Elephas maximus indicus: one gene and its partner. The protein of the gene in region 2 binds, or shares a complex with, the protein of the main gene of each other region. Links are inferred from orthologs where the notes say so. Each region holds a gene or a part of one and is shown on either strand. Other genes may lie near its edges.

Evidence for each region.
Region 1: PIGH (region 2) and PIGP share a complex: the UniProt entries of both Homo sapiens proteins name them as parts of the glycosylphosphatidylinositol-N-acetylglucosaminyltransferase (GPI-GnT) complex. The link is inferred for Elephas maximus indicus from reciprocal best matches to the Homo sapiens genes PIGH and PIGP.

The regions. Positions count from the first base shown.
Region 1 is NC_064820.1:218,684,227-218,699,226, forward strand, and holds the start of PIGP (phosphatidylinositol N-acetylglucosaminyltransferase subunit P), read right to left. Parts: upstream 6,634-15,000; 5' UTR 6,464-6,633; intron 6,458-6,463; exon of another isoform or gene 6,342-6,457; intron 6,333-6,341; exon of another isoform or gene 6,231-6,332; intron 6,073-6,230; 5' UTR 6,049-6,072; coding exon 5,967-6,048; intron 24-5,966; coding exon 1-23. Other genes in the region: E3 ubiquitin-protein ligase TTC3, read left to right, coding at 6,812-6,860. UniProt on the Homo sapiens protein: Part of the glycosylphosphatidylinositol-N-acetylglucosaminyltransferase (GPI-GnT) complex that catalyzes the transfer of N-acetylglucosamine from UDP-N-acetylglucosamine to phosphatidylinositol and participates in the first step of GPI biosynthesis.
Region 2 is NC_064828.1:79,949,882-79,965,334, reverse strand, and holds PIGH (phosphatidylinositol N-acetylglucosaminyltransferase subunit H), read left to right. Parts: upstream 1-7,622; 5' UTR 7,623-7,703; coding exon 7,704-7,883; intron 7,884-10,308; coding exon 10,309-10,518; intron 10,519-10,959; coding exon 10,960-11,190; 3' UTR 11,191-11,391; downstream 11,392-15,453. UniProt on the Homo sapiens protein: Part of the glycosylphosphatidylinositol-N-acetylglucosaminyltransferase (GPI-GnT) complex that catalyzes the transfer of N-acetylglucosamine from UDP-N-acetylglucosamine to phosphatidylinositol and participates in the first step of GPI biosynthesis.

The DNA of each region.
Region 1 (15,000 bases), on a different chromosome or scaffold from region 2:
AAAAGCCCATACAAGATATAGTACTGTAAAACAGAGAAGAGGAAAAAAAAAAAACAGTGAGAGAAACATCAGTAAGGCATGCAACCAGTCCATCAAGGTTTAGATAAAAAGCTCCTCTGAACCTTTCTCTAATTTATTCAGAAATGATTTTTCCCTCCTTTCAGTTTTTCTAGCTCTTTATTTGTACCATCCTTATAAAACCACAATTACCTTGTATCAGTTATTATTCAAAAATATACATTAACTCTCACACTACATTTTAGGCAAGTTAAAGGCACAAGTCATGTCTTAGCAATTGCTGTAATTCCTATAAACCTAACAGTTTGCTTTATGCATAGCAAGTGTTCAACAGTTCACCCCCACCCCCACCCGAGAGAGATGGGAATAATTATGACATTTAGCTACTTAAAGGTCAATTTACCTACCCTTGGTCCAATACACTGCAATCTGAGTTTCTACCTTATCTCCCTGGATACAATCTCATTTCCCTTAATGCCAATGCTTTGTGGTACCCTTTGCTGTTTTTGAAGGAGCCCTGGTGGCGCAGTGATTAAAGTGCTCGGCTGCTAACCGAAAGGTCAGTGGTTCGAACCCACCAGTGGCTCTGCTGGGAGAAAGCTGTATGTCATGGATTGAATTGTGTCCCCCCAAAATACCTGTCAGTTTAGCTGGGCCATGATTCTCAGTATTGTGTGATTGCCCACCATTTTATTTGATTTTTCTATATGTTGCAAATCCTGTCACTATGATGTAATAACATGGATTAGTGGCAGTTATACTAGTAAGGTCTACAAGATTAGGTAGTGTCTTAAGCCAATCTCTTCCGAGATATAAAACAGAGAAGCAAGCAGAGAGACAGGGGAACCTTATACCACCAAGAAAGCAGTGCCGGGAGCAGGGTGCTTCCTTTAGACCTGAGATTCCTGCGCTGAGATGCTCCCAGACCAAGGGAAGACTGATGACAAGGACCTTCCTCCAGAGCTGACATAGAAAGACTTGCCCCAGAGCTAGCGCCTGAATTCAGACTTCTAGCCTATTGGACTGTGAGAGAATAAACTTCTCTTTGTTAAAGCCATCCATTTGTGGTATTTCTGTTAGAGCAGCACAAGATGACCAAGACAATGTAGCAGTCTACTTCAGTAAAGATTACAGCTTTGGAAACCCTACAGGGGCAGTTCTACTCTGTCCTACAGAGTCGCCATGTGTTGGAATCAACTCAACGGCAGTGGGTTTGGTTTGGTTTTTTGCTGTTGTCCCTGTGTAGTAACAGATGCCATCTGAGCACTCACTTCGGGCTAAGCACAGTTATAAGCACTTTACATGCATTATTTCCTTTAATCTTCAAACTGACGTATGTATACCATTTTTACAGATGAGGAAATGAAAAGGTTAGAAAGGTTAAATCGTCTGCCCAAGGTAAGCGGCAAAGACAGATTTCCAATTACTTAAATCAACGATGATGAAGTGTTGATTGTTTTTTTCTTGACAAATATGTAGTATAAAACTACGTCAGGACCTTGAGATACAATAATGAACTTGAAAGAGACAACCCCTGCCCTCCCTGAGCTTAAAATCTAGTGGAGAACAGAGTTGAGGAAATTGATATTGTCACTACACTATGATAACTGCTGATGACTATGTGATAAAAGACGACACGGGAGCACAAGAGAAGAACCTTAGCCCAGACAGGCGCAGGTGGAAATTAAGGTGTGAAGGATGAGTAGGAGGTAAGCCAGATTAAAAACGTATATGGCTAGGGAGCCTGCAGATGACAGGAAGGGAAAATAGATGAAATGATGTTCCCTGCCATGATACAGAGAGAGAACATGAGGGATCTGAAGAGAGATTTGGTGCCTTTTTTTTTTTTTTTTTTTTTAGATGGTAGAGGCCAAGGGAAAGGGTGGCCAGGAACTGGCTTGAAGCATTAACATAGCTCTTAAAGTTAATGCAACACAATCATAATGAAACACTATAAATCCATAAGCAGAAGTGATTTATTAGTTTAATTAATGAAATGAATGATCATTTCTTGAACATCTACTACTATGTGCCAGACACTATGTAAGGCCAACGCAATAAAAAAAAATTTTTTTTTTTTTTAAAAAACGTTATAGAGGAAACTAAAACAGTCCTTATTCTCAGGGAACTCACAAACTAGGGTGGGAGACAGAAACAAGCCAAGTGTAGTGGAAGGAACTTCACATGTAGTATCTTACTTAAGCCTCTCAAAACCCTTTTGAGGTGGGAGCTATTATTAGCCCTAATTCACAGATGAAGACCACTGAAGCTTGGGGAATCAAGTAACTTGCTCGAAGTCTCACAGTAAGAGCTACAAAGCTGCAGTGTGAACCCAAACAGTCTGTTCATACTACGCTACTCCCCAGGTAATCATAGACAAGTACAGTGACAAACCTACGTAAGGTATCATTAGAAGAGAGAAAAAAGTGACCTAACACAAATTGGGGAGATCAGGGAAGGCTTCCTGAAGATGATGCCTGAGCTGACTCAAAGGATGCGTGGAGGTAAGCTCCCGTAAGGGAGGTCGCTATGCAAAGAGATAATGAAGATGGAAAGAACGTTCCCAGAAGCAAGACCATTAAGAAAAATACGGAGGTGACAAAAGAATGTCACGTATTTGGGGGAAACCATAAACAGTCATACACAGGTAGCTATGAGTCAGAACCAACTTGAAGGCACCTAACGACAACACGAGCAGTTCAGAGCTGCTGTGAGTACTGAGATATAAAAGTGCAAAAGTGGGCTACAGAGAGAGAGAGAACCATCCACACACCCACCAAAGAGGTTTTTTAAGCAGAGAAGTTCAGATTTGCCTCTGAGTGGGTTGCTCTGGTGGCTCTCTGGAGGACGTATTTGGTGGTAATAAAATCAGACAGTAAGAGGCCTACAGCAGATTCCGTGGCAGGAGCGAATGAATGAGTTATGGGCAGAAGAAAAAGGACAAATGGGGAATGACAGCCAGGTTTTCGGATTGGGTGACTCGTAATTTTAACACCAAAGAGAGTATCTGAGAAGTTATTCTCCATACAGCGTTGAATGATCTTCCAAAAATATTAAGTAAACCATATTCCTCAACTGTTCAAGCCCTTCAACGCCCTTACCCACTGCCGTTGAAAATCCAAGCTCTTTACCAAGGCCTACAAGGACTTGAATGATCTGGTTCCTGCCCACCTCTCCAATGTCCTTTCTAAGCCTTGTGCACTATGCTCCAGCCACAGTGGTCTCCTTTCTGTTCTTCACACCTTTCCTCCTCAGGGCTACTGTGCTTGAAGTGCCATCTGCCTGGACCTGTCTGCTCTTCCCTTGGCTCTTTTCAATGCCTGGTCCCTTCTCTTTCAGGCAGCAGGGGCTCTCCCCGACCATTAGTCCCTCCATCTGCTGCCCCGCCCCCCACATTACTATCATTTCCCTCTATTTACTTCAAAGCCTTCATCACAATCTGCAATTACCTTGGTTGTTTTCAAATTAGTAAACATTTCAATGTAGAGAGAGAATCATGTAATCCTCCTGTACCCAGCACCTAGTTTTATCGTAACTGCCCAGAGCTGGCTTCTGACCTCACTTTTTCAGGCTTCAACCTTCCTGTTATTCCTTGAACTCACAGGAATGTGTCTCCCTCTGGGCGTCGGCACTGGCTGTTCTCTCTCTGGGGTGCTCTTTCTCCAGAGAACCACCCACCTAGCTCCCTCACTTTTCATGTCTTTGCTTAAACCTAATCTCTCAGGTACATCCCAACTGCTCTATTCAAAATCACAAAGTTCTTCCACTCCTTATCCTTCGTCCTTAATTTCTCCCCAAAGGGCATGCTATCATCTGACATTGTGCACGTTTCACTTAATTTGTTCATTGCCTATGTGCCTCTACTAGAATGAAAACTGTATGAGACTAGGAAATATCTGCTTGTTTTGCTCCTCCCTGACTTATAATAGTGTCTGGCATATACTAAGCACTCAATAAATATTTACTAAATTAATTTTTGATTGTAGGTACTATTGAATTTAAGTATTAAAGCCATTGCTTTTATTTATTTGCATAGTTTCTAATCCTTCAAGTACTCTATTAAACACTAGGATTACAAAACGATGTTAATAATAATAGCAGTGGCTAATATTTATTGAATACCTGTTGTATCCCAAGCATTGCTGTAAGTGCTTTATATAAATTACCCTGATTAATCCTCAAAACAGCCCTAAGAGACAGCAGAATGAAATGTTTTAGAGCAAATATTCTTAAACAGTGTATCTAGGTTCAAATTCCAGCTAGCTGTGTGACCTTGGTTAAGTTACTTAAACCCACCTGTGTGCTTCAGTATCGTCACCTGGAAGGTGAGGACCATAACAACAGTATCTACCTCACAGGACCGTTTGTGCGTATCAGGACTCACAAGGATTTGAATGATCTGGCTCCTGCCAGATCAACAAACATCGATCAACACACAGATCCAACAAACATTATCATCAGCACTTCCCACCCACTTCTACAGATAAGGAACCTGAAGGCTAAGACAGAGGTTAAGTGGCCCTAGATCACACAGCTAATCTGTGGAGGAGTAAGGATTTGAATTTAGTTATAATGAAAACCCTGTTGATCACAATGGCCTGATCCACAATCAATCATGGGATGGCCCAGGATCAGGCAGTGTTTCATTCCATTGTGCGTGGGGTCGCCGTGAGTCTGGGGCTCACTCGCCAGCAACTAACAATGACGTAACTTCTTCACTCCACAAACTCCCTTAGTCAACAGCTTGGCCATTAGGCCATCTCCAAGCTATACTGATGGTGCAAAGTGGGGTTTTTTTCAGTTAAGATTCCTCCGCACACACCCCTCCCCCCATCCCTCAGCTTTCAGGAAGTTCCAGCAAGTAGGATTAAGGTACCCAATTTTCTCCCTTTTGTTTCTCTCATAATTCCAAAATCCTTTTGGGGCAATATGGGGCCTACTGTGTGACTGGGCAAGGAGCCCTGGTGGCACAGTGGTTAAGTGCTTGGCTGCCAACTCAAGGGCTGGTGGTTCGAATCCACCAGCAGCTACAAGTAAGAAAGATGTAGCAGTCTGCTTCTGTAAAGATCTATAGCCTTGGAAACCCTATGGGGACAGTTCTACTCTGTCCTATAGGATCTCTACGGGTTAGAATCCGCTCAATGGCAATGGGTTTGGTTTTTTGGTGTGACTGGGCATATTATGGAAACCCTGGCGGCATAGTGGTTAAGAGCTATAGCTGCTAACCGAAAGGCTGACAGCTCAAATCCACCAGGCGCTCCCTGGAAACCCTATGGGGCAGTTCTACTCTGTCCTATAGAGTCGCTATGAGTCAGAATCGACTCGACAGCAGTGGGTCTTGGGTTTGGGGTATGTCAGTGTCTCAGTGAGAGTCAGTTTCCTTATCTGTAAAATGGGACATTCTGCGGATTAAAGGGTCTATCTTTCAATGGGAGTTCTCTAGCTTAATTGCCATCACTCTCCAGTTCCTGCATGCTGCACTGGAGCCACACCAAACTACTCACTTTTCAACCTGGTTGTGCCTTCCTCCAAGCCCTTCACATTTCCTTCTCTCTTAATTATTCTTCTGTAATAAGTGTTGTGAATAAAGTCTCTGAGAGAAAGCCAATCTGATCTCCCAGTTTGATTTCAACGTCCGTCCACTGTTCTTCCATGATACTTACCACAGTGAACATCTGGTCCAGAAGACCCTGACCTCCTTAAGGGCAAGAACCAGATTTTACACACTTTGCCATCATGTCTGGTGCTATATAAATATATGTGTTAAAATTAAAGCTCTTGGGCCAGCGTCTTACATATAAAACATCTTGAACAACGAATTCCCTTAAAAAGAAACATTGCTGTAAAGAATCACAGCTCCTGTGTATACATTCTAAAAAAAACCGCAACGTTTCCTTGTCCTCGACATCCAGAAAGGGTTCCTAGTCACTCTTCAAGAATATACTTACTGAAGCCAAATTGGGAGCTTAAAAAAAGCACAAAGCCATAAATCGCTCTTTCTGGCAATGGTGACGGTGAATTTTCCACCATTTTGTCCCTGTGGCTTTAGACAATCTGTGGAAAAGAAGACAAGCCGTCAGCGATTTACACCCCTTTGCCCCTCCTGACTTTGCTTTGGGCAGAGCCCCCGCAGGGGTTTATTTCAGCGGAAACCACTGCAAACGGCCATCCTGCGCACACCCCAGCCCACGCCCGAGTGCACGCGCGCACACCTGCTGCGGGGGGCACGGCAGCGGAGGCACCTACGCCGCTCCAGCCCCGCGAGCTTCGCCTGCGCAGGGGAAGGGGAGGGAAGAGCAGAGTGGGGTCCGCGAGGCGCCGACCTGGACGCGCGCGGCCTCCCAGGCCTGGGCCCTGCTCTCTGTTGGGGCTTGTTTCTCATTCGAGGCCTCACTCAAAAGCTGGGTGGGGTATGCCCTCGGCCAGCAGCCCTTCATGCGCTCACCCGGGCCCCTCCCGCCAACTCGGCCACCTCCGCGCCGAGTCTTCTGCGCAAGCGCCGACTACGGAACGGCGGGGTGCGAGAGAGAGAAAATTGAGAGAAAGGAAAGGAGCGACGGCGCACTCCCGCCCACGCACGCGCGTACACCGCGACCCTCGCAGGGAGCGCGCGGAGGGTGGACGCATGCGCAGGGGCAGGCTAGGGCGCTCAGCTCGCGGCCGCGGAGGGAGGGGGCGGGCTGGCCCCACTGCGCATGTGTGTTCCCTTTCCACGTGACAAATCTGCCTCCCGCCCACGCCCCCGCTCGCGCCCGGCTGACGTGGAGGTCTGGTCGCTGCGGCGGCGGCGGTAATGGCTGAGGGAATTACCAGCGTCCGAGGCTCGCTGACAGCGGGCCCCGGTAAGTGCACCCTTGGCGCGCGGCAGGTCACGTGGTCCCGCTGCAGCCGAGACTCCCGGGGAAAGGGGGCCTTATCCTTCACAGCCCTTGCAGGAGCGTGTGCTCGTTGCGGGGTGTCCCTCGCTGTGGTGCCCGCTGTGTGTCTGCGTGGGCCAGGGAACGGTCACGGGGTGTGTCTCCTTTGCCTGGTGTCCCCCTTCTGCAAGCGGGTGCCCCGCTGGGGGTCTGCGCGAGGGTGGGAGCGTTCCTTTTGCGTGCACATTCCTCTGCTGTCCGCGCGCGCCTCGTCTCCGATACCAGTTTGGGGCGGTGGCCGCCCCAGCCCGCTCTCGGGCACGCCCCCGGATCTGCCCCCGGACCCCCTTTGTGGACACCCTTTCTTTTCGCGGCTTCCGTGGGTGGCTCCCCCTTTGCGTCATTGCTCTTTTCTGGGGGTGCGCGTCCCCGCGCCTTGTGCGACGCGACCCCCTCTTGGAGCGATCTCAACCCTAGTGTGTTCCCGCGCGAGTGCGAGTTTTCCGTGACGAATGTTCGGGAACGTTGGTGCAAGCCCACCATCTGTGTGCTCCGACGTACCTGCCACCTGTTTTTGTGAGAACTGGCAGCGGAGTGCGGCGCTCGCCCCTCCCCAAGGAACGGACCAGGAGAAGTCTCTCCCCCCACACCCCCAAAGACTAACTGGGAGGACGGGAGCGGTTCGGGCCAGCTGCTCCGTGGTATTTGCAAAGTTAGGTGTGGCCTGTGGAGCCAGCCTTTCCCGGGAATAGAATTGGGGGACCACAACCGAGCAAGGCATAGGCGAATTTGGACTGGTACCATTGCGGCGGGCGTTTTCCAGAGGAACCCTAGTCACAGTCCTTCAAATTGCAAACCTCCCCCAGAATCCATGCATCCGCCAAACGGGCAATACCTTGTAGCCGACCCTGAGCGTTTTTGGTAACAGCTAACGGTTTAGTTAGGGTTCTATGGCTTTCACGTAAATCATCTCTTTTGCTTCTGCGCAGCGTGCAGGAGAGGGAAATAAAGTAGAAATCTGATAAATCTTACTCCTCCTTTGGGCGCAGTTTTCTCATAATTACTCGGCTCTGGTTAGGACATTTTTGATTGCAAGGAATTTGCATTTTATCTTAAGGAAAATGGACTTCATTATTAGAGTACACAGACAGGGCCAAGAAAAGTCAAATGCATCAGGAACTTGACTACTACTCTTGCTCAAGGACTGTGTGCTCTGCGCTCAAGAGCTGCATTTGGTGTTTTTCTCTCGCCATCTGCTCCATTTTCTTACTCTTGCAAAGTTTTCTTTTTAATTTCTGGACTATTTGACGCATAAATTACGGGGAGGGGGGAGTCTACCCAATCCATAATTCAGATTTTACAGGTGCTTAAAAAAATTTTTTTTTAATTGGAATATTTTGCCAAATTTACTTGAGATCCTTTGTTTTTTTTTTTAAATGAAATGTTGCCCATATGGGGGTGCTTCTCGTTTTTCCCCCTCCTTTCCTAGACAAAAGCCACTGTGTTCAGGTTTGTGTTTGTCATTCCCTTGCATATCTTATACTTCGATCAGAGTGAATCCATAACCAATATATACTGGTGTGTGTTTTTAAACATTACATAATGGTATTAAACTACATGTACTTTTTTTTTGCAACTTGCTATTTTTACTTTGTATCACATTTTGAGATTTATATATGAATAAATCAGATGATTTTGTTGTTTCTGGCTCATTCATTTAAATTACCGGTATAGAGTTCCATTGTATGAATATACCATAGTTCATTTATCCATTTATCTATGGATGGACTTTGAAGTTGTTCCCAGCTTTTTGCTCTTAAAAGCACTCTTGCAATAAACATCTTTTTACCTACCTGTCTGCTTGTACACGCATTTGAAAGCTTCTCTAGGAAATATATCTAGTAGTAGATCTGCTTTGATAGTAAGATACATGGATATCACAGATGCTCTCCAAGCGATTTACCAATTTTCACACTCCCTTGTTTTGAGTGAGAACACCTGTTTCTTGCTAACACTTCATGCTCTCAGACTTTCACGTTTTTTGCCTTCTCTGTAACTTCAGCTTGTTGTTTGGAGCCACGTTGGCTTCTGCTCGTGTCTCCGTCTACTGGTTCTTCTCTCACAGCTAACTGGCTCAGTTTTTATCTCATTTGGTCCTCATAAGATTAATTCTAATGAACGTTTATCGTCTTCCTAGCGTGTATCAGTTCCTATGGTTGATGTAAAGACAGTAATTTCTGTGGTATATGTACCTTTTTAGTGTCCAGTGAGGAGATTTAATTTAAAAAATTAATATAACGAATGGTTTATCTTAATCTTTTCGGTTATTTCAGTGTAATGTTTGATACATACATGATATATATAACTACGCAAAGCAGTAAAAAATGAGTCTACCACTCAGTCGAAAAATTAAAATTACCAGTATTGCATGTACTCATCTCCAGAGGTGACTATTATCCTGAATTTCATGTCATCACTTGGCTTTTCAAAAATAATTTTATCAGATATATATATATATCTCTTGACAATGTATAGTTTCTATTGTTTTTGAGTTGGAAAAAAAAAAGGAATCCTACCAGATGTAGTTTTCTAGGACTTATTCACCATTATGATATTCTTGAATATAGATGTAAGTCCATAAATTTTTACTGCTGTATAATATTCCATGCGTGAATCTAACACGGTTATGCATTCTCTTGTTGATAGACATTTTCATTGTTTCTAAAACGTACTGTTAATGAAGATTCTTGTGTGTATTTTCTGGTACACAGGTACAAGAATTTCTCTTAAGTTTTCACACTGGGGTTCATAACCCCCAGGGGAGTTAGGAAGATTTTTCCAAGGGGTGCTTGGGTACAAATGGTGTTAATGAATCAATTTCTAGATCCTTAATTTTTGTATGTATTCTTTTCTAGGAGCCCTGGCGGCACAGTTGTTAAGAGCTCGGCTGCTAGCCAAAAGGTCAGCAGTTCGAATCCGCCAGGCACTCCTTGAAAACCCTATGGGACAGTTCTCCTCTGCCCTGTAGGGTCGCAATGAGTTGAAATCGACTTGATGGCAACCGGTTTTTGGGGGTTCTTTTCTAAAATTGGTAATGCCTGAGGCTTATGGTACAGGTCACCTGCTAGTTCTCCTTTCTTATCTTCCCTTTCACAGTAGCCTTCCACTCCCCCACATGGAATGTTACCAGGGCATTGTTCCAGTCCAGGCATCTACCCCATTGTCTCAAGAGATGCTTTTTCAATAAGATTTCACTTTTTATAATTATCAACATATATAGTTATGATCAGCTGTATATTAATAATTATAATGACATACAGTTGGAAGACTGATGTATCAGTTTTATTTGAAAATGTCACCATGATACTTCAGAAATTCATCCTTTACAGTTACTTAAACTTATACTGAAATCTTTTAAATGTCGTCTTGATGTGTGAAGGGGTTTGTAATTTTTAAAAGCTTTTGGGGGGAGTTTATGAGCCAAAAGAAATTGCTAGGTGGTGCAGACAGTTAATGTGCTTAGGTGTTTGTTAATTGAATGGTTGGCAATTCGAACCTACCCAGCAGCTCTGTGGAAGAAACACCTGGTGATCTGTTCCCATAAAGATTAAAGCCTAGAAAAACCTCTGGGGCAGTTCTACTCTGTCACATGGGGTCATGGTGAGTTAAAATTGACTTGATGGTACCTAACTGCAACATGCTGATACCACACTGGCTTAATCCTTATTAATGTTTTTAGCTTTATAAGAAATCTTGATATAGGGAGGGATTTGAGTTTCAGCTGTTCTTGAACTTTTGTTCTGTAAAACCTCAAAATCAGCTTGTCAGGTGACATGAAAAACTGTTTGAGGTTTAATTTGAATTAGTTTGGGAGAGAATTGAGATTTTAAGACTTTGAGCCTTCTTGTCTTCTTTTAGGTTTTTAATTTCCTTTCATATGGTTTTGTGATCTTCTCTGCACAGATCTTCCACGTTTTTGTGATGTTGATATCTATGTATTTAACAGTTTTTGTTAAAATTGTTTTGTTTTAGATTTTATTTTCTGTTTGTTTGTAAATAGAAATTGAATGGATTTTTAAAAATTTGATCTTGAGCCAGCCACTTGATAACTCTTATTTCTAATGTATTTTCTAGAATTCTTCTGGCTTTTCTATGTAGACAGTTATATCGTCTGCAAATAGTGACAGTTTGGGCTTTTCCTTTTTGTGTATTTTCCCTTTCTTAATATGCTGGCAGCACTTCTAGATCTGTGTTCATTAGAAGTGATTGTAATGGCCGTACATGTCTTGTTCCAGGTCTTAAAGTTAGTGTCTCCCCATTACGAATGACGTGTGCTGTGAGCTTTTGTAGATATCCTTCATTCAGATAGGAAGGACTTTGTTTGCAATTTTGTCATATGCTTTTCTGCACCTGTGGAGAACATCTTGTGGTTCTTCTCATTTAATCTGTTAAATGTTAAATTAAGATTTTTTAAAATTCTTAATTCACTCCTGCGTTCCTGAAATAACCCAGCTTGGTCTTAATGGATTATCTTGATTGTGCAGTACTAGTTTGAGTTGCCTAATATTTTATTTAAGGTTTTTCATCTGTTCATGAATGTAATTGCCTGTCGTTTCTCTTTGTTAACTGTCATGTCTGATTTTGGCAGTAAAGTTAACACTGGCCTTCTATGGTGAGTGAGTTTGTCTTTATCTGTTGCCTGGGAGAGTTTGAATTGGAGTGGTTTGTTTCTTAACAGTTTGATGGAACTTGTACTGTAAAATCATCTGGGCCTAATGTTTTCTTTGCAAAGAATTGTAAATTACGAATAGTTTTTTTTGTTTTTTAATGGCTATGTGCGAAATCGACTCAATGGCAATGGGTTTGGTTTTTTTTTCCCCCCAATGACTAATCATGTTGGGCATTTTTTCACATGCTTTTTGGCCAGTTATATATCCTCCTTGGTGAAATGTCTGTTTAAATCCTTTCCCTGTTCTTTTTTTGGGGGGGGCGGGGGTGTCTTTTTCTTGTTAAGTTACAGGTTTTTTTTTTTTTTTTTAACATATTTTTGAGTATTAGACCCTTATCAGATACATGGTTCTCCAGAATTTTCTCCCAACTGTAGGTTGTCTCCTCACTTTGTTGATAAAGTTCTTTGAACAAAGTATTTGATTTTTGTGAGATCCTATTTATTTTATCCTTTGTTACTTGTACTTTTGGTGTCATAGCTGATAATTCATTGTTAAAAAGTAGGTCCTGTAGTCATATCTCTGTTTTCTTCTTACAGTTTTATGGTTTTAGCTTTCACGTTTAGGTCCTTGATCTTTTTTGAATTGATTTTTGTATATGGTGTGAGGCATGGATCCTGCTTCATTCATCTGCATGTGGAAATCCAGTTTTCCCAGCACCATTTATTAAAGGCACTCTTTTTTCCTCACTGAACGGACTTATCACCCTTGTCAAAAATCAGTTGAATGCAAATGTATGAGTTTATTTCTGGACTCTTCCATTGGTCTATATGTCTGTTGTTATACCAGTACCAGGCTGTTTTGATGACTGTAGCTTTGTAGTTTGTTTTGAAATTGGGAAGTGTGAATCCTCCTACTTTCTTCTTCTTGAAGATTGCTTTAGGTATTTTGGGTACCTTGCCCAGATTGCTTTGGGTAGTATTGACATCTATAAGGTAGTCTATACATTTGTTATAATTAAGCCTTCCAGCCCATGAATGTGGAATGTCCTTCCACTTATTTAGGTTGTCTTTAATTTCTTTTAGTAATGTTTTGTAGTTTTTAGTGTATAAGACTTCCATATTCCTGGTTAAATTTATTCTTAGCTGATTTGTTCTTCTAGGTGCTATTGTAAATGGTACTGCTTTCTTTATTTCTTTTTCAGTTTCCTCATTACTGATGTGTAGAAACCTGACTGATTATTGTGTGTTGTCCTTGTGTGCTGCCCCTTTGCTCAATTCATTAGCTCTAATAGCTTTCTTGTGGAATCTTTGGGGATTTCTGTATATAGGATCATGTCATCTGTGAAAAGGGATAGTTTTGCTTCCTCCTTCCCAGTTGGGGTACCATTTTTTTTTTTTTCTATTTCCATATTTTTGAAGTGTACAATTTAGTGCCATCAATTACATTAATCATGTTGTGTAGCCATCACCCATAATCGTTGCCAAATTTCCTATCACCAAAAACAAATTCACTGTTTCCTGAACAGAGACTCACCCAGGTAACCATTAATAAACTTTGGTTTTTATACATTTGTCTGTTCTTATTATCGCATATAAGCGAGATCATACAATATTTGTCCTTTTCTGAGTGACTTCACTTAGCATAATCTTTTGAAGATTCATCTGCATTGGAGCATGTATCAGGACTTCATTTATCTGTGTGGCTGAGTAGGACTCCTCTGTGTGGTTATACCACATTTTGTTTACCCTTTCATCTGTTAACGGACACTTAAGTGTTTCCACCTTCTGGCTTTTGTGAACAGCTCAGCAGTGAACATTGGTGTACATGTATCTATTTGCATCAGTGCTTTCAAGTCACTTGGGTATATGCCTAGGATTGGAATTGCTGGGTCATATGGTGGCGTAGTGGTTAAGTGCTGTGGCTGCTAACCAAAGGGTAGGCAGTTTGAATCTGCCAGGCACTCCTTGGAAACTCTTTGGGGCAGTTCTACTCCGTCCTATAGGGTCGCTATGAGTTGGAATCGACTCGAGGGCACTGGGTTTTTGGTATGGTAGTCTATGTTTAAATTTTTGAGGAACCACCAAACTGCTTTCTACAGTGTCTGTACCATTTTGCAGTTCCACCAACGATGGATTGTTGTTGATGTTGTTAGCTGCCTTTGAGTGGGCCCCAATAAGGGTTCCAGTTTTTTCACATTCTTGTCAATGTTATTTATTTTCCTTTTTTTTTTTTTAGCCATCCTAGTGGGAGTGAGGTAGTATCATCGTGTTTTAATTTGTGTCTTTCTAATGGCTAATGGGAGCCCTGGTGGCACAGTAGTTAAGAGCTCAGGCTGCAACAAAAAGGTCAGCAGTTCGAATCCACCAGCCGCTCCGTAGAAGCCCTATGGAGCAGTTCTACTCTGTCCAACAGGGTTGCTGTGAGTTGAAATTGATGGCAGTGGGTTTTAACGGCTAATGATGTTTAGCATCTTTTTATTGACCATTTGAATATCCTCTTTGATGAAATGCCTGTTCCTTTGTCCATTTTTTAGATTGGGTGATTTATCTTTTTCTTGTTAAGTCAATCTCTCACACAAAAACTTTATATAAACCTTGCTACACACTACCAATTACTCTACCCCTAATGAGACAGCCTGCTCTTTCCCTCCATTCTCTCTTTTTGTGTCCATTTCGCCAGCTTCTAAGCCCCTCCACCCTCTCATCTCCCCTCCAGGCAGGAGATGCCAACATAGTCTCAAGTGTCCACCTGATCCAAGAAACTCACCCCTCACCAGCATCCCTCTCCAACCCATTGTCCAGTCCAATCCGTGTCTGAAGAGTTGGCTTCAGGAATGGTTCCTGTCCTGGGCCAACAGGTCTGGGGGCCATGACCACTGGGGTCCTTCTAGCCTCAGTCAGACCATTAAGTCTGGTCTTATGAGAATTTGGGTCCCTTTTTTTTTTTTAATATATTCTTTAAAAAAATTTTTTTTTATTATGCTTAAGTGAAAGTTTACAGTTCAAGTTAATTTGTCATACAAAAGTTTATACGCACATTGTTATGTGACCCTAGTTGATCTTCCTATAATATGACTGCACAGTCCTCCTTTCCACCTTATATTTCCCGTGTCCATTCAACCAGCTTCTCCCCTTTTCTGCCTTCTCATCTCACTCTCACTTCCGGACAGGAGCTACTTACTTAGTCTCATGTATCTACTTGAGCTCAGAAGTGCAGCTCTTCACAAGTATCATTTTATGTCTTAAAGTCCAGTCTAATCTTTGAAGAGTTGACATGGGGAATGATTTTAGTTGTGGGCTAACAGAGAGTCCGAGGGCCGTGTCTTCTGGGATCCCTCCAGTCTCAGTGAGATCATGAAGTCTGGTCTTTTTACTAGAATTTGAGTTCTATGCCTCACTTTTCTCCTGGTCCATCAGGGACTCTGGAATGTGTTCCCTGTGAGGGTGGTCATTTGT
Region 2 (15,453 bases):
TTTTATAAAATCTCAATTTGATTTCATCAGGGAAATAATAAACATATCATATTTAAAAAGGAATGAGTACTGAAATAAAAAAATACATATCTAATAGATAATAGCATCAAAAAACATCAAGTACCTAGGCATAAGCCAATTAAAGACGTACAACACAACTATAAAACATGTTCTCAGAGAGAAAAGACCTAATAAATAGAGAGGCATACCAGGCTCACGGACTGGAAGACTAAGAATAGTTAAAATCTCAATTCTCTCCAAATTGATCCATTGATTCAATGCAATCCCAGCAGGATTTTTGGTGAAAATACAAAGGGACTAGAACAGCCTATACAATCCTGAACAAAGCTGGATGATTTAACAGTATCAGAAATCAAGACCTACTATAAAGCTATAGTAATTGAGAGACAGTTTGATGTTTGGCACAAAACCAAAAAGAAACAAACCCACTGCCGTCAAGTCGATTCCGACTCATAGTACAAGGAAAGACAAAATAGAACACAAAGAACAGAACAGAGAATCTACACATATATATATATATAAAAAACATATATAGTCACTCGATTTACAAAAAAAATGGCATTGCAATCAATGGGGAAAGGATGGTATTTTCAACATATGGTGTTGAAAAAAATTAACTTTGACTCTTACCTTCAAATAATAAAAAAATTAATTCAAAATGGATTGTAGGTCTAAATATGAAAGGTAAAACAATGAAGCTTCTAGAAAAAAAAGAATGAAATATTTTCATGACTTTGGGGTAGCAAAAATTTCTTAAACAGAACATAAAAAAACACTAACCATAAAAGGAAAGATTGATAAATTGGTCTTCATCTCAATTAAGACTTCTGTTCACAAAAGAAACCAGTAAGAGTGTGGAAAAAGTAAACTGCAGGCTGTGCATTTTTATTTCATAGATAATATTCATCAATTAATTTTTTTAATGGGTAAATGAGGAAATTTCTTCTAGAATGATGGAATATATATATATTCCCTATGCTTCCCACTAAGAATAGCTAAAATCCCTGGGCATTACATATAAAACAAATATAAGACTCTGAAACATGGAGAGAGGGAGGCAGACTGACTAGGGACCTCAGGACCAGAAGAATGATACGGTGGTGACTTTTGTGGGTTTTCTTTTTGTCTCGTATATCCCAGACTGGGTACTGGAAAAGATATCAACCTGGAAATGACAATGGGTGCAGATAAAACACTTAAAAAAACACCCAAGGAAAGCCTGCTCTCTAAAGCCAAAGGACAAAGAAGCCCAGCAAGGTAGAAAGCTTTTAGACAATAACTACTCCAGCCAAACACCACAGAAAAACACTGTGGTGCCATTCTCACCCCTGCCAGCAAAGATCAAGCAAGGAACCTGGACTTCCAGCTTGCCAGGCTATAATGACATGTTCCAACTCCTCAACTAGGATGTTATCAGAGAAGGCTGAGTAAAGATCAGGGACTTTATTCTCTGCTGAGTGGTAACACGTGCATCCCCCAACCCCTACCCTGTGGGGTCAGTGGAGAACACACGGGAAGCCTGGACTTCTACCCCACACGGCAATAACAAGGAGCATCTCCTCCACCCCAGCTGTTAATGGAGGCCAAGTAGGGAACCTGGACTTTAACCTCCACTTGGCAGTACTGAAGTAATGCCCCTCTTCTCCCACTGGGGTGGTGTCAGAGGGGGCCTTCTATAACAGAAAATTTAAATAAGATCCAGAGTCTCATAACACAGTATCCAAAATGTTCAGGTTTCAAGAAAATATCACTCCTCATACCAAGAACCCAAAAAACTCAACTTGAATAAGAAAAGAAAATCAAGAGATGCCAACACTGAGGTGACACAGATGTTAGAATTACCTGACTAGGATTTTACATAAAAACCACTACCCACTGCTACATAGTATCATAAAAATTCTTCAACAAGCAATTACAAACATGCTTGAAACAAACAAAAAAATAGAAGTCTCAGCAGAGAACGTTGTTGTTGTTAGTCGAGTAGGTTCTGACTCATAGCAACCCTATGTACCACAAACCAAAACGCTGCCCGGTCCTGTACCATGCTCACAATCGTTGTTATACTTGAGCCCATTGTTGCAGCCACTGTGTCAATCCATCTCGTTGAGGGTCTTCCTCTTTTCCACCGACCCTGTACTTTACCAAGCATGATATCCTTCTCCAGGGACTGATCCTTCCTGACACTGTGTAGAGAACAGAAGATATAAAGAAGAATCAAATGGAAATTTTAGAACTGAAAAACACTATAACACGATTCAACAACAGTATGGAGAGGACAGACGAAAGAATCAGTGAATTTAAAGACAGAACAATAGAAATTACCCAAATTTAACAACAGAGAAAGCATATTGGAAAAAAAAAGAAACAGAGCTTTAGGGATCTGTGGGACTACACAAAAGATCTAATATCTATGTCATCAGAATCCTGGAAGGAGAGGAGAAAAAGGATGAGGCTGAAAGAATACCCACAGAAAAAATGGCTGAAAACCTCCCAAATATGGCAAAAGACATGAACTTACAGATTCAAGAAGCTACACAAAACCTAAACAGGATAAACCCTAGAAATTCATGCCAAGACACATCATAACCAAACTTCTGAAAACTAAAGACAAAGAAAAAATCTTGAAAGCAATGATAGAACCAGATATATATTAAGAAAAAAAATTCAAATGATAGCAGATTTGTCATCAGAAACCATGGAGGCCAGAAGGAAATGGCACAATATTTTTCAAGTGCTGAAAGAACTGTCAACTCAGAATTATATATCCAGTAAAAAATATCCTTCAGGAATGAAGGGGAAATCAAGACATTTTCAGATGGAGGAAAATTTCATGAAGAGAATTTGTCACCAGCACACCTACCTTAAAAGAATGGCTAACGGAAGTTCTCTTAATAGAAGGGAAATGATAAAAGAAGGGATCTTGGAACATCAAGAAGGAAGAACAATGAAAAGAACAAAAATATGGGCAAACATAATAAACTTTTCTTCTCTGAATTTTTTGAAATTATGCTTGATGGTTGAAGCAAAAAAAAAATTATAACACTGTGGTTTTTTAATGTATATAGAGGAACTACTCAAGACAATTATAAATGGGGAGCGTAAAGGGATGTAAAGGGAGGTAAGATTTTTACACTTCATTTGAACTGGTAAAATGTCAATATCACTAGACTGTGATAAGTTATATATACATAATTTAATACCTACAGCAATGTCATGGATCGAACTATATGCCCCCCCCCCCCAAAACGTGTGTATCAATTTGGCTGGGGGATGATTCCCGGTATTGTGTGCTTTTCCAGTATGTTGTAAATCCTGCCTCTATGATGTTAATGTGTTAGTGAGGCAGGGCTCAATCTACAAAATTGGATTGTATCTTCAGGTAATCTCTTGAGATATAAAACAAAGAAGCAAGAAGAGAGACGGGGGACCTCATACCACCAAGAAAGCAGTGCCAGGAGCAGAGCATGTCATTTGGACCCAGGGTCCCTGCATGGAGAAGCTCCTACTCCAGGGGAAGACTGATGAGAAGGCCGACAGAGAGGGAAAGCCATCCCATGGAGGTGACATCCTGAATTTGGACTTTTTGCCTACTTTACTGTGAGGAAATAAATTTCTCTTTGTTAAACCCATCCACTTGTGGCATTTCTGTTATAGTAGCACAAGATAACTAAAACAAGCAACCACTAAAAAAACCATATGAAGAGATATACTCAAAAACACTAGATAAATCAAAATGGAATTCTAGAAATGAACAGATGAAAAGTTTATTTCTTTAAAACCCCATTTCATTGGGATTACTTTTTACTTACGTGGGCCTTTGCTTTTTCTCCTCTATGGGTTGTTATTAGTTTCCTTTGAGTTCACAGAACGCTTAGGGGTAAGTGGCCCTTAGTAGGAGTCCTACCATCAGTTAACATAGCAGTAGCAATCATTAATATCATAAAAAAGCAAACAGAATAGAAGCAACAGTACAAGACAGAGGAGCCCTGGTAGCCCAGTGGTTAAGAGCTCAGGTAACCAAAAGGGCAGCAGTTCGAATCCACCAGCTGCTCCTTGGAAACGCTATGGGGCTGCTCTACTCTGTCCTACAGGGTTGCTGAGTCAGAATCAACTGGTCAGCAACAGCTTTTGTTTTTGGTTTAAGATTGTATTCTTGGAATGACTATTTAACCCATAAATGTAAGCAAACACTAAAATAGAACTTATGGAAGGGTTTTAAGAATCTGGCATGGACCCTAAAAATAAAAAGTTAACTGAACTTGTATTTTAATTACTCTATTTTCCTTTGCTATTCAAATTCAAAACCACTCAGGCTCCAAGAATTACTTTAACAGTGGAAATAATTACCCATCATACCAAAAGTAAGTCTGGGAGATTAATCCTGTGAATTGCCACCTCAGTGCTTAATTCACTCCAATATAGTTCCTGGTTCTTGTAGCCAGAATTCTTTGAAGAATATGGCCTTTGCCTGACTAAATGTTCACCAGATCATTTCTCCTCAACCATCCCTCCCCACACTGATAGATGCTGTTTCTCTGCCTCCATTGAAGTTAGGTATAGCCATGCTAATGAGTTCTGGCCAATGGAAATGTGGGCCAAAGACTTGGCCAGAAAACCGTCTCATGCACCTTCCTCCATTCTTGCCCCTCATCTGCCAGCCAGATGCAGAGGATCCAATGGAGAGGCCCACGAGAAGGCCCTAGGGGGTTGTGCAGCCATTAGATGCAAGGAGTCTGGGTCGCTGACTTGGAAGCGTGTCACCTCACCACGAACACCCATGTGGAACTATGCACTTAAGATAAACAGTTATTGTGTCAAGCCACTGAAATTGTAAGGTGTTTTGTTACAGCAGTTATCCTACCTTGAAAATAGAGGGTATATATTTTTTCTCATGCTCCCTTTCTCTATTTTTCCATGACTGACCCTGCAAATATAGTCCATGGAACTTTTGAGATTTGAGAATATTTTGAAATCCAATACTGAGAGCTAAAACAATCACTCCTTGATACTTTTGCAAGATCATGGTCATGAAAACTTGTCATTTCACATTCTAACTGGAACCTAGGTAAATAGCAAACACATAGGTTTCAATTTCTACTGAGCTGCCAAACTGCATAATAGAGTTAAGAAGATACTGTGATGTGACAAAACAAAGTAGATATAAAGATTTTGGGATTACTTTACTACCATATATATTCCTAATAGTATTCAAAAAATGTTAAGTGTACATTTAGGTGTCTTTTTCTTTCTATGCCTCTACTGCTGTGAAACTTTCTAAGCCGGTACAGGTTCTTAACGTTTCTTGTGCCACAGACCCTTTGTAAGTCTGGTGAAGCTAACGGATCCCTTATCACAATCATATTTTAAATTGCATTTAAAAAAAAAAACAAAACATTGGATTTCAAAGAAAACCAACAGAATGTGAATATCCAAAACCAAACCTGTTGCTGTCCAGTCTATTCCGACTCATAGTAACCCTATAAGACGGAGTCTAAGTGCCACATAGGGTCTCCGAGGTTGTATAATCTTTACAGGAGCAGAATGCCACATCTTTCTCCTGCGGAGCAGCTGGTGGGTTCAGACTGACAACCTTTTGGTTGGCAGCTGAGCACTTAACCACTATGCCACCAGGGCTCCTTGAATTGAAATATAGTAATCAAAATATTTTTCAAATGTGTTATAGCCATATGTATCTCTTTACTGACACATTAATAACAAGATCTAGTGATGGGTCTAATAATTACTGCAATTTTGAAGTAGTTATGAGTGAAAAGGACATTTTGAGATAACAATTATGGAGACCCTGGTGGCACAGTGGTTAAGTGCTCCAGGCACTGGAAACCCTATGGGGCAGTTCTACCCTGTCCTATAGGGTCACTGTGAGTCAGAATTGACTCGATGGTGACAGGTTTGATTTTTATAACAATTATTGTGAAAAGAAAATATTTGTGATTTCTATTGGTGACAAAATCACTGCTGATACTACTTGGTTTGTGTCTGCACTCATAATCAAAAGAAATGTTAAATTTCAGTTAGAAGTTAATGAAACTAAAGGGGAAATTTTTTCCCCATCCAAGTCCGCAGACTCTGAATGCTATTAGGGATGCCTGGGCGAGAACTCCAGGACTAGAGGTCTCTCTAAAACACCAACGGTGCTTATGTCTCAGTGGGGGCGATATAGGTGGTTTAAAGTTTTCTTCCTTGTTGTACAGTTAAAAATCTCAAATTTTCAACAATACGCAAATATTACTTTTATAATTGTAAAAGACATTAAATGATATTCACAAAAAAAGTATTGGTTGGAAGATTCGGGGCACAGAAATAAAACTGGAAAAACAAAGCAAAGCAATATTTGAAGAAAAATTTAGGAAAAGAAAAGGAAAAAAATTCTGCATGAGAATGGAGCAACTGAACCTGACTGGCATCGGAGAGACTTAAAGCTAGTGAGAACTCTATGCCATTTATCCTTACGCCTCAGGGCTGAAGCATCATAACTATTTTAATAGGCCACACCGTGGCTCACGGGACACATCTGAGGTAAGAGGAGGGAACCCACAGGACTTATTACATACATTTAGTAATCCTATTTTCCATAAACTGCATCTCACACTCCTACTGTCTACCTCCCAGCAGAGGTCTGGGAGAGAGAAGTTGGACAGTGAAATCTAACTCCTTACAGCGTCTCATACAAGACCCTTCTGGATCTTTTACCTATCTGTCCCCAGGCACCTGTCTCCATGGCCTTTATATACCTCCAATAAGCTCACCTTGTTCCAGCCTCGAGGGCTTTGTCTTTGTTCGTCCTTCTTCCTGACAAAGTGCACCTGCAGAACTCCCTGAGACCAATGTTCGGTTCCTTCTCATTCTTCTAGCTCCAAAGTTTCCCTCTCAGAGAGACGTTCTCTTGAATGCCCTGTTTAAAGTCCCCGGCCCACCCGTCCCTGCCTGTGGTCATCACCTTATTGCCGACGGCTTTCTGAAATTATTTCCATATTATTTCTCCCACTAGAAAGGAAGCCACTTGAGGACAGGGACCTTGTCAATGTTATTCACCACTGTATCCTCAGCACCTAAAACTATCTAGCACACAATGAACCCAAACCAAGCCCAGTGCCGTCGAGTCGATTCCGACTCCTAGCGACCCTATAGAACAGAGCAGAACTGCCCCCAGAGTTTCCAAGGAGCGCCTGGCGGATTCGAAATGCCGACCCTTTGGTTAGCAGCGGTAGCACTTAACCACTACGCCACCAGGGTTTCCCTAGTACACAATAAAAAAGGTGTCATTAAATATGTAACGAATAAAACAATGATTGGAATGTATGAATACCTGTGGACTGTCTCCTTGGGGCACACTCTGGCTTAGAAATATAAATCAGTTTGTCGGGCGAAACCACGTTTGTTAGTAGCGGTTTTAATCTGTCTGCTGAGTCGCTGGCCCCCTACGACTCTTTGGAGAAGACAAAGAAGCCGAAAATAGCGGCCGAACACACCGGGGGCACGATGAACTCTTCACTTAACCTCCCGGACTCTCAGCGCCGAACTGCGGCTGCGCCGAACGGGGGGCGGGACGCTGACCCGGCTCTCCGGAAGTGGCCCGAGAGCCGGCGAGACGGCGCGGTGGGGCGGGCTAGAGTGGCGCGGCGCGGCGCGGCGCGGCCCCGCTGGGTGGGGGCGAGCCGGCAATGGAGGACGAGCGGAGCTTCTCGGACATCTGCGGCGGCCGCCTGGCCCTGCAGCGCCGCTACTATTCCCCCTCTTGCCGGGAGTTCTGCCTCAGCTGCCCTCGGCTCTCGCTGCGCTCCCTCACCGCTGTCACCTGCACCGTGTGGCTGGCGGCCTACGGACTCTTCACCCTCTGTGAGGTAATGGCCGGTCGGCCTCTCCCTGCCCTCGGAGTTGGGGCTCGGATTTGGAAGGCTCTTTGGGGTCTTTTTGGTGGAGCTCGAGCCTCTTGCCGGATCCTCCTACAGTTGTAGGGTCGGAGGACGAGGACTCGCTGGTTCTGGAGACGCCATTGTCCTGCTGGACGGATCTTTTCATTACGTTTAGTGAAGTTTGTGCTCTTGTACCATCTCCCTCTCGTGGATCCCTGTTCTGCTTTTGTGGATCCACCCAGCATACATCTTAGTCCTTGCACGACAGCCTAAAATGTAAACTTCCATGTGCGCTATGTAGTTATGCTCCTAGTAATTTAATTCCGAGAGTTCAGAGAACTGTTAGTGGATCACCCTCATCCATCGCTTCCACTCCTCACAGGTATCATTGTTAACAATACCTTATATAGTCTTTCAGAAACTCTCTGCCTCTACAAGTGTGTATGTGTATATATAGTATATGTGTGTGTGTCTAGATACACACAGACGTTAAAAGCTTGAAAGCAGCTTTTATAGTTCCTCCTAATTTCTTTTTCAAGGCAATCTATCTACCTCCCTGAATCCCTTCCCCAGTTTCACGTATTTTCTGAAGAACTATGAACTTTTCGAGCAATTTCCAGACTCAGTCCTATTTTTTCTGAGCCTCAGTTTTCGCATCTCTAAAATGGAATATTTGCCACACTAGCTTCACGGTATTGTTGTTGTGTGCCCTCCAGTCAATTCCAACTCTTAACGACCAAGTAGCACAGAGTACAGTTGCCCCTTAGGGTTTCCAAGGTTGTAGATCTTCACTGAAGCCGACAGCCACATCTTTCTCCTGTGGAGCAGCTGGTGGGTTCGAACTATGGACCTTTTGATTAACAGTGCCACCAGGACCTCTTCCACAGTATTGTATTGTGGGTCAAATGTCCTAACTTTGTGACAGCGCTCAGTTAAAAGGACTTATCCTAATTGCCTTTCCCAGGGTAAGTTCTAGTTTCATGTATAGTGTCCTGGATGGAATATATTCCAGGAGTGGTCTGGTCAAAGCTAAATACAGCAGAGCTATTTATTCCGTATTTTGGTAGTTTCTATTACTGCATCCATTAGCTTTTTTGCTACCACAGCATATTTCAGAGCATGGTAATTTATCTATGTTTATCTGTCTAGCTACCTAAATTTATAATACAGTTGAATTTTAATACTAGCCTGAGTTCTGCCCCTGTGGGCATGTGGGGAGCAGGGACAGATAACTTATTAACTGCCTATTGAGTGCCAGGTGTTTTACTGAATGCCTCATTTCAACCTCAGAAGAAAACCAAGGCTCAGAAAGAGTAATAACTTATCTATCCAAGGTCGCAAATCTACAAAGCTAGTAAATGGTAGACCTGGGATTCAAATCCAAGGCTGTTTGACTCTGAAGCCGTTTCTTTTTGTTTATACCATGTTGCCTCCTCCATGTGGAGGGCTGATCTTAGGCAATTTTAAAATAGGAGAATTTTGTTTTTATGCCATCTCCACTTCATGTGGCAAAGGCCATGGCATCAAACCTCACTATGAACTTCATAAAGAAAGGACCTCTTCTTCCTTAGCTGTCTTTTTAAGATGAACTAAGTTTTTCAGAAGCCCCTCTAGCTGACCTCCCCTGACATCTCATTGGCCAGACTTGTCATGTGCCCATTCCTAACCAATCATTGGCAAAAGGAGTGGGACCAGGTCATGATTCACTCCAAGTTCTACTAGGAAGAAGCGGCAGTTGAATAGGCAGTGAGTAGTATCTGCAGCACTGGTGCGAAGTACTTTACAATTGTTCAGTCTGTGATTTTGCACTGTATATTCTGCTGAGGGAGCAAGAGAGGAAAAGATCTGGGTCCCTAAATTGCACTTTTGGAAGAAAAATCTTTGACATTGGTGTGATGCCAGACATTTTGCTGTGGATTTCCCTCCACAGACCTGTCCATTTGGAAGCTATCTGGATCTATTCCACTATCCACTTGTATGCTGTTGTTAGTTGCCACCAAGTTGATTCTGACTCATGGTGACACCATGTGTGCGGAATAGAACTGTGGGGTTTTCAAGGCTGTGACCTCTCAGAAGCAGATTGACAGGCCTGCCTCCCAAGGCACCTCAGGATGGGTTCGAACTGCCAACCTTTCTGCTAGTAGTCAAGCACTTAACCATTTATACCACCCAAGGACTCCTATATACTTGCAGAACCCAGATAAAAGTGGTTTCCTCTTTTGTATGGTTTCCTCTTATGTATGGGTCTTGCATCTGTTCAACTCACAGTAGAACAAAGATTTTCGCCTGTCCTTTGTCCCTTTCTGCCCCCCCCCGCCCCGCCCCGCCCCGCCCGAGTTGATTTGTTAACACAGCAGCAGTGTGCGCAGGACCACTTGGTAATCTTACTGCCTGCCTCTGGCTCTCTCTTCAGAACAGCATGATCCTCTCTGCTGCCATCTTCATCACCCTCTTAGGCCTACTTGGTTACCTCCATTTTGTGAAGATTGATCAGGAGACTCTGTTAATCATTGATTCCCTGGGCATCCAGCTGACCTCATCCTACGCCTCAGGCAAAGAAAGCACCACCTTTATTGAGATGGGCAAGGTGAAGGATATTGTCATTAACGAGGCTATTTACATGGTAAGTGTATAATAAGTATTACAGGCCTTTCTGGAGGAAGTAGCAGGTGGGGTGTTCCTGAATCAAATACTAAAGTATTTGATGTCATAGAATTAAATTTGAGGAATCTTCTGCTCTAGTACTTGCAGTGTTTCTTTTTTTGGCTGATGTGTCTATAAACCATAAGAGTGAAACTTACGTTGAAAAGATAGGACTATTTTTAAAGAGAATAGGTTTTTATGAATAAGGAATCAGCACTTCAACTGTTTCTAGCCCAGCTTCAAAATCATCTCTTGTATTTTTCATTTAAAGAATGAGAATATACTTCTCCTTTTCCATTTCAAGGTTATCAGGTGTTCTACTACTTAGAGAAAAAGTTTTGAGCCTCCCCTTGAAGAAGAAGAAAAAGAAAACAAACCGAGTTTCACTTGGACTTCTGCTATTTGGTTTCTTTTCTTACAGCAGAAGGTGATTTACTACCTCTGCATTTTATTGAAGGATCCAGTGGAACCACATGGGATATCCCAAGTAGTACCTGTCTTCCAGGTGAGCACAGAACACTTAAGTTTCCTTTCTCCAGAGAAATTCTCTACCTCCTCTCGTACTCCTTGCATATGCACTGCTGTTTATGCTCAGTGGGAATGTAAACTTTTGTCAGAGTTTTTGAAGATACCTGGCAACTATTTCCAGTGAAAATTAGGATTTTAGTTATTTTAGAAGTTCCTCTCTGAAGCAAATATAGGCTTTCAAAAATAATATGAATTCATGCAAATTTTAGAGAAAAAATAATCAAATATGTAGCAATTTCTGCCCATAAATTACTATTCATCTACTTTGACTCTCAGTTTCCATTATACAGTTTCACCCAGATGTCATTATCTACACATATTAGGCACTATTTTGTGCTTTGTTTATTAAATAGTTATTTAATATGCATTTTCATTCATCTGCAAAGGCTGTTATACTTTAAATAATTATATAGTATTCCATCATGTTGAAATATTATAGTTTACTTTAGCCACTCTATTTCTAGCTTTTTAAATTGTGTCCAGATTACTTGTTTTGCTCTTAGGAAAAACCACTTGAACAAACATGATTGTAATAAATTATAGGTATTTATTTACGTATGCATTTAACCCTGCTCCACTGCTGTTCCTTTTTCACAAAAGATTTAAGGCAGCTAAGCTCAAAAAAAAATTCTTTGGCATTATAGTTTCAAATTATAGCTATTTTGTTAAAGTTTATGAGCAGTTCCATGGGTTTTTGTTCGTGTTTGAGATTGAGCTGCAGAGATTGGACCACTTTACCATGCTATTGGGAGTTTTTACTTGCCTTTTCTGCAGTCTTGGCTAGCAGTGAATTCAACTGGTTCTTTTCGTTTAGTATGTAGGTAAAGGCATTTTAAAATTATTAAATTTGTATCTTTTTAAATGACTGACTTCATATTTCCTTGTATCTCCTATCAGTATTTTGTTTTAAATTATCCATCTCTATTAGTCAAGTAGAATCTAGATATTAATTATGTAACAATTCTTTTTATATTTTAAGTAGCAAACTTTCATTAAATATTCTTTCCACATATATTTTTCCCATTCTGTGGCTTTTCTTTTAGTTTTGGTTGTGTTACATTTCATTTCACAAAATGTTTTACAATATTTGCATATTAAACTGCCCTTCTGGTCTCTGAGGACTCTATCTCAGCTTGTGACACTTCTCAGAGGGCCTGTCCTTGTTATTCTTCTTCTTCTCTTAGAGGTTGTGAAATTTAGACAGATTAAAAAATTGTCTTTTGAGCTCCTGCCTCACACAGTTCACGGGCTGGCTACGGGCATAGTTTTGGAGTCCTTCTAGCAAGGTACTGAGGTGTGAACTTCCTGCTGTCTGAGCTCATTTCTCTGCCATTTATGCCCCTTGATGTGGGTGAGAGATTGAGTTTACACGTGGATGCAACACCACTGAGCACTCTCTTACGTTCATCTTGACTCTGCGTTTCTCCCCTTTGGAATTCAGAGTGCCAAGCCCCGGCTGGACTGCTTGATTGAAGTGTACAGGAGCTGCCAGGAGATCCTGGCACACCAGAAAGCCACATCAACAAGCCCATGAGTCCCAGCATTCAAAAGGCCAGTATTGTCTTCCTTGGGAGATGACTCTTAAGCCATAGTGGCTGGTTCATTTTCTGTATTCTAAACTATCACGTGGACACAGTCCTAGGAACCAGTGTGGGTGCTGTGGATCTCAGAGCCATAGAGCAGGTGACTGGAAACCTAACTCGTTGTGTGATGTTGAGCAACGTATTTCTGTGTATTTTAGTGTTCCCCTTGTAAGATGTTGCCTACTTTACCAACTGAGGGAAGACTTTAAGAAACAGGATGTCAAAAATAATATCAGCAAAGAGCACTTTCATGAAATTCCTAAGCACATTCAGTTTGCTTTCTATTGAAATTTGTGGAGCAAGACAGTGGGAAACTGACATCAGGTTTCTTGAGAAAGGTATCATTTCCAACTGCAGAGCACCACTGTGTAAAAGTTAATAATAAAAAGGCCAGCCCTTCAGGTACTAGTTAGCGGGAGGAAATGTCCTACAAAAGACTACTCTGTCCACTTAGCTCCTGTGTTAGCAGGGTTAATTTATAACTCTCTTAATAAACAAATCTTCTTAAAACATACACAATAATTGCCTGGTTCACAGACAGCTGCTTTTTATTGACAAACACAATCATGGCATTTCAGTCATGGGTGTCAAGCACATGAATACTTTCCTGTTACTCATCATTAGCTACGGTTTCAAAAGCTTCTTTTGCCAAAAGGGATGAGACAAAAGGTCAGACAGATTTGACTTTTGTTTCCAGACACAGGACTTGCGTGTTAAAGAAGGATAAATAAGAGAACTGTAGAAGCCTTTGTTTATAAGGAAGCTTCTTCTGTATAAAATCAATAAACTGAGAGGATTCCTGAAGGATTGGGAGGGAGGGGAAGCGGGGGAATAGCGTGGCGTCAAGTTCAGTATGAAAAAACTCCTTGCCTACTCTTTATATGGAATCCTAATTTTTTTTTAAACATCCCTCCCTGGTAGATGATGTTATCCTCATTGGTCCTAGAGACACTCAAGATATTAAAAACCAGAGCTGCAATCTCTGCCATTTACACAGCTCTGGAGGGTTACCCAGGAACCTGTGGTATATGTGAGATGTGACTTGTTCGAGGTAGAAACGTCTCAGCTAGATCCCTAAATCCTGGTGGAAAAGGCAGTACAGAAGTGGGAGATGGCTGTAAAACTGCCCGTCTTCATAAAGTCAAGTTCATTTATAAGATGCAGACTGATGTGCTTTTTTCATCATGCTTGTCAGTTTAAAACGGGAAAGAAGGGGAAGTTTACAGCAGCTGAAGTGTTACATGAACTACTTCCAGCATGTTGTTTTTGCAGTGTGCAAGAAGCACACATTGTTAAAGGCTTGGTTTTTGGATGTTACTGCTAAATCCATCCAGTTTTCAGCACTTTACTGACAAATGGCAAGATTGCCCTAAAGCTATGAAATAAAATTCATTTTCTCAGGTGTTGGAATATCAGAGTATGAACTCTTTCGTTTTGGTTTTTTTTTTTTTCCTATTAGGGGAAGGTGGGAGACAACTACCATCTCCTTTGCTCTTGACTAGGTCTGGAGGGGTGATATTGGTGTCATCACAATGGCCAAAGGGGAAAGAAAACTTCAATTTCTTTCCCCTAGTGCTGTTAGGCTAGAACAGATATCACATATGTGCCCTCTGCTCTCAAACTAATTCCCAAGAGAAGTTCACCAGAAGTCCTGAGAAACAGGTCAGGGCCATGAGCCTGGAGGGGTTCTCTGTGTTCTTGGCTCATCTTTGGCAGCAACCTCTCAAAAAAGCAGAGCACATTTCCTTGGCCTTTCAAAGAATGGGGAAACAAATAGTCACCGCCTCACCCTACAGTAGCGAGCACCACCTACCCTACACTAGTGAGCACCACCTCACCTTAACAGTAGTGAGCACAGCCTTCACTGAGCCCTGTCCAGTCTCTAAAATGAGACAAGGAGAGGTCAGATTGAAGCACCTCCTGCCTTTGCTTGGACAGTGTGTGGTACTGAGTTTGGCTGACAGTCCAGTGTGTAAGAGAACAGTTTCATTCTTAGCAGGGAAAGCGTGCAAAGATAGGAGCTGCTGCCCCTATTCCTTTTTACCCAACACCTTGCCCACCTGGGAAGGAAGTCCAGTTTTAATGAGTTCTAGGCTTTTGTTAGAGGTTCAGTTGAAATGGAAATTTTAGTCCTGTCTTGTTCAGGGGCTGGGAAAACTTCAAGTATAAATCCCCAAGTAAGGACCATACACATTGTAAAAAATATCTTACTTCCCTGAGAGTACCTTGGCGTACAGCACTGATGCCCTCAGGTACAGTGGATCATTCCCTGTCTATGTCTAGATAAGGTAGCAGCCAGAGCTCAATATTCTTGTGGAAAAAAGTGAGTGGGTTTCATCATTGGACCTGGATTTTTAAAAGTTTGGCCCTGAAACATTGTAAGGCACCTAGAGAATAAAGGCTTTGTGGACAATGAAATACTCAAACATTTCACAGACTAAACCAAGGAGGGTTGGGGGACAGTTAGACCCATCACAGTTAGTATCAGATACCCTAGGATATATGGTTAATCCTGCAGGGACCAGGTGTAATTGGGGACGGTAGGAGTAATCTTCACAGTAACGTTGGCCGCTTGGTAGCACGTGGAATAGAAGCAAAGAACTGCCGTCCATCCAGTTCCCAAGGTTGGCGGGAAGCAGGCGGGTTGGTTGGTGGGCTCACAGTTGCAGAGCAATGATTCATGTAGCTGGCCATGATGAGGGTAGCCTCTGCAATCTAAGGAGAAGACAGAAACAAAGGAATTGAACTGGCCTTGGCTTGAATCCTGGCTTTCTCACTAGTGGTTGTTGGGTGCCTAACCTTTC